2 linked regions of the Canis lupus familiaris genome follow. The protein of the gene in region 2 interacts with the protein of the main gene of each other region in a pairwise test. Links are inferred from orthologs where the notes say so. Each region holds a gene or a part of one and is shown on either strand. Other genes may lie near its edges.

What was found. The genes of interacting proteins can lie anywhere in the genome.
Region 1: the proteins of DTNB (region 2) and SPZ1 interact in binary tests that used the Homo sapiens proteins (3 or more experiments, as listed by UniProt). The two-hybrid records come from large-scale screens. The link is inferred for Canis lupus familiaris from reciprocal best matches to the Homo sapiens genes DTNB and SPZ1.

What each region holds. Positions count from the first base shown.
Region 1 is NC_049224.1:26,863,622-26,867,386, forward strand, and holds SPZ1 (spermatogenic leucine zipper protein 1), read right to left. Parts: upstream 2,357-3,765; 5' UTR 2,083-2,356; coding exon 979-2,082; 3' UTR 648-978; downstream 1-647. UniProt on the Homo sapiens protein: Transcription factor that binds to the DNA sequence 5'-CANNTG-3'(E box) and the G-box motif. May play an important role in the regulation of cell proliferation and differentiation during spermatogenesis.
Region 2 is NC_049238.1:19,846,870-19,850,521, reverse strand, and holds part of DTNB (dystrobrevin beta), read left to right. Parts: intron 1-1,722; coding exon 1,723-1,828; intron 1,829-3,652.

The sequences.
Region 1 (3,765 bases), on a different chromosome or scaffold from region 2:
ATCAGAAGTCTAGCTCCCCCCCCCCCTTTTTTTTTTAAGATTTTATTTATTTATTCATGAGAAACACAGAGAGAGGCAGAGACACAGGCAGAGGGAGAAGCAGGCTCCCTGCGGAGAGCCAAACGTGGGGCTCGATCCTGGGACCCCGGGATAACGCCCTGAGCTGAAGGCAGCCAGTCAACCACTGAGGCACCCAGGCGACCCAGAAGCCCAGGTCCCTCAATAGAAAATACTGCTTTTTCCCTTGGGTAACTCTACTATCCCCACCTGGAGGAATGGGAAGAATTTTGCCAACACAGAACAAAATCTAGATATACATCTATTCTTCTAAACCAACTGACGTATCCTTCGCCAAGGGCCTCTGCTGCTTGGTATGCCCACTGTTCACTAGTGGAGGAGCAGGAGAGGAATATTATGAAAAACAGTACTTAGGGAATGGGGACACTTATGAGAAGAGAAAAACTACTCTGGGTTGGTTTATCAGCATTTTTTTTCTTCTTTACGTCACTACTTCCCACACTTCAGTAGATAACAGGAAAAGGAAACATGCATTTCAATCATGAGCTTTAAAGGTTCACAATAAAAGGGTCATATACTTTTTCCTCCCAGAATTCCCCTTACCCAGTAAATGATTAAATAAAACAAACTTTTCATTTTTATTCTAGTTTTTATTTAGATCTTTATTAATTGGACCTATAACTTCTCCCTCTTGGTTACAGTGTCATAGGATCTCTAATAAATACAAAAAACAAGCAAATTGTACGACAGGTTATGAACTTGATACTGGCACTAATGGTCATGAAACACCAAACTTACATAACTACTGAGGTAATGAATAATCTAAGTGTTAATCTTCTTGTTCTATGGTTTACTCTTGTCAAACCAGCAGATCTATCCTAGGTTTGATGATTGATTATGCCTAGAGTTGATGTGTTACAGTTTTTGAAGAATTGCCTTTTCTTCTACTTTTGGTATTTTCTAAGTTAGGCTGCTGGATGATTTTTCCACAGGAGTTCCTCTTGCAATATGAGTATTGAAGTGGTTATTAAGCGCTTTCTTGCTACCAGCATCCAGGCCTCTGTAGAATTTGTCTTTTTTCTGAAATGTACCCTCTTTTTCTTGCATTTTTGGCTTATGCTCTGCTGATAGCTTCTGTTTTTTCTTGTCCTTTTCACCGTTTTTCTGAATTGGCTTCTCTTGCAGAGTTCCCTCTTTCTGATGATGGAGTTCCTTGAGAAGCTCTATTCTCTGCTGTAAGATCTGACATTCATTTTCCAGCAAAGCTGAAATCAAATGCAATGAATATGTGTCATGTTCCAGTTTTTTCACTTGTTCCTCCAGTTCATGCTGAGCTGACACCTTCTCATTTGATTGAGTTTGGAAATGTGCTCCATTATTTTTAAGAGTTTCTTGTATATCTTTCTGAGATTTCTGATATGTTCTTATTAGTTCACTGAGCTCAGCATGTTGCACATTCCAGTGTTCTGCTTCCTGTAGTAACTGCTCCATGTTGTTCCTAAGTTTGATATTTTCTTCTTGAACATGAGGGAGTCTATATTTTGCTTTTTCCTTACTTAACTGAGTTTCATCAAGGGCTCTGTTTTCTTCTGAACAATTTACCAAATCACTTCTAAAGACTTGTACCGTGTCCTTACAGTTCTGGTTTTCCACTATCATCTGTTTTTTTGCATTCTCTTCTTTCTCTAGGTCTGAGCAACCAAGCAGGTTGTTCAATAACACTTCATTTATCTTATCAAGTTCTCTGATTTTTTCTTTAAGTTCTGACACATCCTCAGAAATACTGATTTCCTCAAAAGAATCTTTGACTTCTGTGATCTTTTCTTCATTACTTGTCACATTTTTAATGATATCTTTAATATCTTTTAAGAGATTTTCAAACTTCTGTGCAGTCTGTTGTTCAGCTACTTGATGGTCACTATTGTTTGGGGAAGGGAGAAAACACCAGGAGACAGGAGGAAGTGATCCAATTTCAAATAAGGCAAGGATAATCCTAGGGCCCAAAGACTCTTGATTGAGACCGGGAGTTGGCTTAAGAGTTTTGGAGAGGGTGGACACTTCCATCTCAGCTGAGTTAGGAGGGGCTGGTGATTAGAGCATGTGGCAAGCAGAAAAGCCTTAAAGTCTCCAGGAAGAGAATGTGGTAGTCCTCTTTGCAAAAGGGTAGAGAATGTGGAACTAAGCAGAAGTCGAGAGACCAGAGTTAAGGTCTGAAACCAAGGAGATGATGATTAGGTGAAAGGTGACATTTCAGATGACCTAGGGGGGAAGGAGGGTGAGAAAGGGGACCAGGAGCTAGGGCTCCATCTGTCCTTCTCCAAGCTTCTGGTGTCTACTCCCTGACCCTAGCAACTAGGTCTTTATTTTGTCACTGTACTATCATAGCCTATCTCCAGCTTCTGTTTCTTTTTGTCACAATAGAAGCCCCTTAAACCCCTGCCCAGTGACTCATGAATCAAAACCAACCTTGAACTATTCCTAGTCTTCTGCCCAGAAAGATCTTTATGCCTGTCCTTTCCCTCCCTACTTTTCTAGGTTTTTATTCAACTTGTTCTAACTGTATTCCGTGACCTCCCTATGTCATTTCCACTACTTACAAACCCAAACTCAACTGAAGTATGTTTTGTTTTGTTTTGTTTTGTTTTGTTTTGTTTTACCACCGAAGTGCATGGTGTGAGAAATCTTCCCTGGACTTTCATAGCACCTGGAGCTTATTGATCCCATTCTAGGAGAGATGTTACCATAAAAGAAAGCAGAACCCAAAAGTATTGCGTGTTTTTGTGAGTTTAGAGAAATAATTTTAAAAATCGCTCCATTTGAAAATATTTTATTGCAGGGGGATCCCTGCGTGGCTCAGCAGTTTGGCGCCTGCCTTTGGCCCAGGGCGCAATCCTGGAGTCCCGGGATCGAGTCCCGCATCGGGCTCCCTGCATGGAGCCTGCTTCTCCCTCTGCCTGTGTCTCTGCCTCTCTCTCTCTCTCTCTCTCTATGTCTATCATGAATAAATAAATAAATAAATCTTAAAAAAAAAGAAAAGAAAATATTTTACTGCAGTAAAAAGAGAATATCTGAATGGTTTCTTAATGCAATCACAAACTGGGACTTTTCTTGGCTTCAAATACAAGCATCCTTTAAGACAGGTTAAGTAAAAGCTTGCTCCTGATTCATTTACAGGTGATATAAAATTGTAATCATTTAATCAATTTAATCAATTAAATCCTGTAGTGGGCTTTGTCTTTTAGCCTAAGAGTCAGGACCTTGAGAATATTAAATTCAAAGAAAACATTCCTTAAGTGAGCCTTTTTCTTGGCCTTCAAAGTCTTGTTAGCAAGTACTTTACTAACTACAATTTTGCTTCCAATATTAAGGGGAAACTCACACTCTAGTAGGCTTTGTGGATTTTTTTTTTTATTTGCCTTAGAGAAAACAAGCTTATGCTTTTTTCTTTCATAGCTACCAACTCACTCTGCTTTTAATTTCCTTGAGCCTCGTGCTCATCTTCCAGCCGGCTGGGCTCAGAGCTGTTGCCTCTTGGCTGTCTGAAGATAATAACCATCTTTCTTTTCTACTTGAAGAAGGAACACCTTTTCTAATTCATAGAAGCTAGTAATTGCCCTTTTGCTTTCATTCTATGTCTTAAGTTCCAAATTTTGTTGCTATTTCACCTTTGGCTCAAACCATCACTTAAGATAATGTTTTAATCTTCACAATAAGGGAAGTTTTTTCCCTGATTTGGTAATTAATTTC
Region 2 (3,652 bases):
TGGAAAACTTTATTTAGCCTAATTAAGTGGGTATTTCTCAAACCTCACTACCAGTGCACAGCTTTCTATAAAGAGCCTTTGGATGGTAACTTCCTACTGTTATCAAACAGTAGGAAGCCCTCCATAAGCCCTCTTGCTTGCCCCTGCCCTACCCCTATTCAGTGTTGGCCTCCAATCTCTGTCCTCAGTTGGAGGCTTTCCTTAATTTTTCTTCCTCTTTTTCAAGTTTTTATTACAAAAGTCTCTTTCTTGCCTTGCCATCTACTTTATCTTCCTTTTTCTGTTCCCTAATTACCAATTTTTTTTCTTAAGATTATTGTTAATAAGAATTATCTCCTTATGTACAATGGAATCAAGATTCTCATAGTTACCAAAAAGATACACAAAAACAGAGATCCCTGGGTGGCTCAGTGGTTTAGTGCCACCTTCGATCCAGGGCATGATCCTGGAGACCTGGGATTGAGTCCCACGTCGGGCTCCCGGCATGGAGCCTGCTTCTCCCTCTGTGTCTCTGCCTCTCTCCTTCTCTCTCTCTGTGTCTCTCGTGAGTAAATAAATTAAATCTTAAAAAAAAAAAAAAGTCTAGCTGGGGAGGTGGTGTTACAGGGGAGTGATGGACGTTGGATGTTTAGAGTCTATTTTCATCCCTATTTTCACTATCTCTGTGACTGGGTCTAATTACTTCACTTTTCTGCACTTTAGTTTTCTTTCTGTAAATGAGAAAGTTGTCAAGTGATTTTTAACAGTGTTTGCTCCTCACTTTTGTATGGACTCAACGATTACTTATCCAGTGCCTGTTGTGTGCCTGGCACTGTTATGAAATGCTGGCAAGGGACGCCTGGGTGGCTCAGTGATTGAGTGTCTGTGTTTGGCTTGGGGTGTGATCCCAGAGTGCCGGTATCGGGATCAAGTCCCACATCAGGCTCCCTGCATGGAGCCTGCTTCTCCCTCTGCCTATGTCTCTGCCTCTCTCTCTGTGAGTCTCTCATGAATAAATAAATAAAATCGTAAAACAAAACAAAACAAAACAAAACAAAAAAACCCAAAACCCCGAAATGCTGGCAATACAGTAAACAACAAATGGAGTAGTTTCTGCTCTCAATGATGTTGTTCTATAACAAGGTGTGGAATGTCTGTCTACCCCACAGGTAAGAGAAATAGTAATTTGAAGGGCAGCTGAGTTCCAGTCCTCGCTTTATGTGATTTAGGTAGGACCTTTACAGGTTATTCATTCATTCATTCATTCATCCCCTAAAGATTTACTTATTTGAGAGAGAGAGAAAGAAAGAGAATCCCAAACAGGCTTCCTGCTGAGTTCGGAGCCTGAAGCAAGGCTCAATCCCACAACTCTGAGATCATGACCTGAGCTGAAACCAAGAGTCAGATGCTCAACCAGCGGAGCCACCAAGGTGTCCCAAGATCTTTATAAATCATTTAAATGCTTTGTTCCTTCTTTTTCTCATCTGTAAGATGAAGATAGTGATATCTAAACTATTTACCTTATATGGTTAAGACTCAACGTGTGTGGAAATGCATTGAATATAGTGGTAATGTACAATGTGTTGCAATGTCTATAGTAATGTAAAATGTAATTGTACTTTGCTATAGAATTTCACATGGAATTCATTACAGCTTGGTTGAGAAACTTCTAGATTAACTTAATTTTGGAATTCAGAGGTACTTGAAGAATATAAAGTATGTTTGTTTTTCTTCTCTTCACAGAAAAAGATAATGCTAAATATGTTTTTAGACACGATGATGGCCGATCCTCCTCCCCAGTGCCTTGTCTGGCTACCTCTCATGCATAGGCTTGCCCACGTTGAGAATGGTAAGCAGAACTTTTGTCATTCAGTCTCGAGCTATAGGCAATATATGAATTTCCGGAGATTTGACCCATATCTTTGTCTTGCTTGGAATTGAAATGGTAGTTATCTCCAGTAACTTCTTAATTTTTTCTTTTTTTGTTATCGGTTTATCTCCTTGTTTAGCTTGTGTGAGTTTGATAAAGGAAAGGCTGTAGTTTTTATGTAACCTCCTCCTTTCTCTCAAGGCTCTTGGTGTTTCCTATTCTACCAAAGAGAACCAGTAACAGCTGAGAGGTGCTAAAAAGCCAAGCTCTCTTTTTCCCCTTTGTAAGCATGAAATACACGTCCACACTGTCTTCTCTCTCTCATCCATGCCTTTTATTTTTATGTTTTTTTTTCTTTATTTATTTATGATAGTCACACACAGAGAGAGAGAGAGGCAGAGACACAGGCAGAGGGAGAAGCAGGCTCCATGCACCGGGAGCCCGACGTGGGATTCGATCCCGGGTCTCTAGGATCGCACCCTGGGCCAAAGGCAGGCGCCAAACCGCTGCGCCACCCAGGGATCCCGCCTTTTATTTTTAAACCTCTGAGCCTTTTGCCCCACTGTGGCTTTAGTTCACAGCTACCTTAGATTCAGGATTATTTTCTGAAAGGTGTAGACTCTCTTGACTAAACTAAAACAGTTAAAATTAAAAAAAAAAAGGATTTTACTTATTAGAGAGGGAGGGAGAGAGTACAAGCCAAGATGGGTGAAGGAGGGGCTAGGAGTGTGAGAAGCAGGCTCCCTGCTGAGCAGGGAGCCCTGACTTGAAGCTCCATCCCCAGACCCTGAGATCCTGACCCGAGGGAAAGGCAGACCAAACACTTGACCCACTGAGCCACCTAGGCACCTCAGCAACTAATTTTTTTAACTGGATTTTTGGATAGAGATTTATATCGTTAAGTTATTATAGTATTATTGGAGTATTATTGGCTCTTTTGGAGGCAATACTTTTAAAGCCTGAAGTGTTTTAGGACTTTTATATTCAGTTTGTTTTATAAAATCATTTTGTATCTGCCATACCATATAGAAAGAATCTCATTTGTCCTGATTTTTGTTATCCATATGAACATTTTATTGTGACTTTGTGTATAGTATTTATTGATTACATTCTTATGGGGTTAGTGATATTTTTCTCAGCTACAGAGAAATAATATGAACTCATTGACATATCTTGAAAATAAAACATTTTATCTATCACAATAACATTTACCTACATATCTTAATTTTTATGTTAGGGAAATAAATTCTAAAATTGTGGTATTTCTATATGGTATTGTAGTTTGGGCTCTTTCTATGAAATTCATCACTTGAATTATGTTGAAGTAACTATAGGGTAGATATCTACACAAAAATTGTGCTTTTTATATTGGTTTACTAATCCAACTATATTGTTTATAAGAAGATTACAACATGATGCATTCTTCCAAAAAGAATACTTTTACCAAAACCTGATCTTATTTGTAATTGACCCAGTACACTTAGTGATCCTCTCCACATTCTGGTTCTTTCCATATCCACCTGGTCAGCCCACTACACAGTCTAATACAAGCACTGGCTCTTGACTGGTATAGAAGTGAAGAAGAATTACACAGATATATATACATGTTCAACCAAGATTATCAGAATGTACTTAATAATTTAATATTAATGTACATATATTATTTAATATCAATAAAAATTATTGTATAGAATTATAAATGCTGGTATGTTGATGTTGACTCTGTTGATGTGAGCTCTAGATTGATTTGGAAATAGTGTTATTTGGTAAAACTTTACTAGGTTGTATAGTTTTAATTTGGAG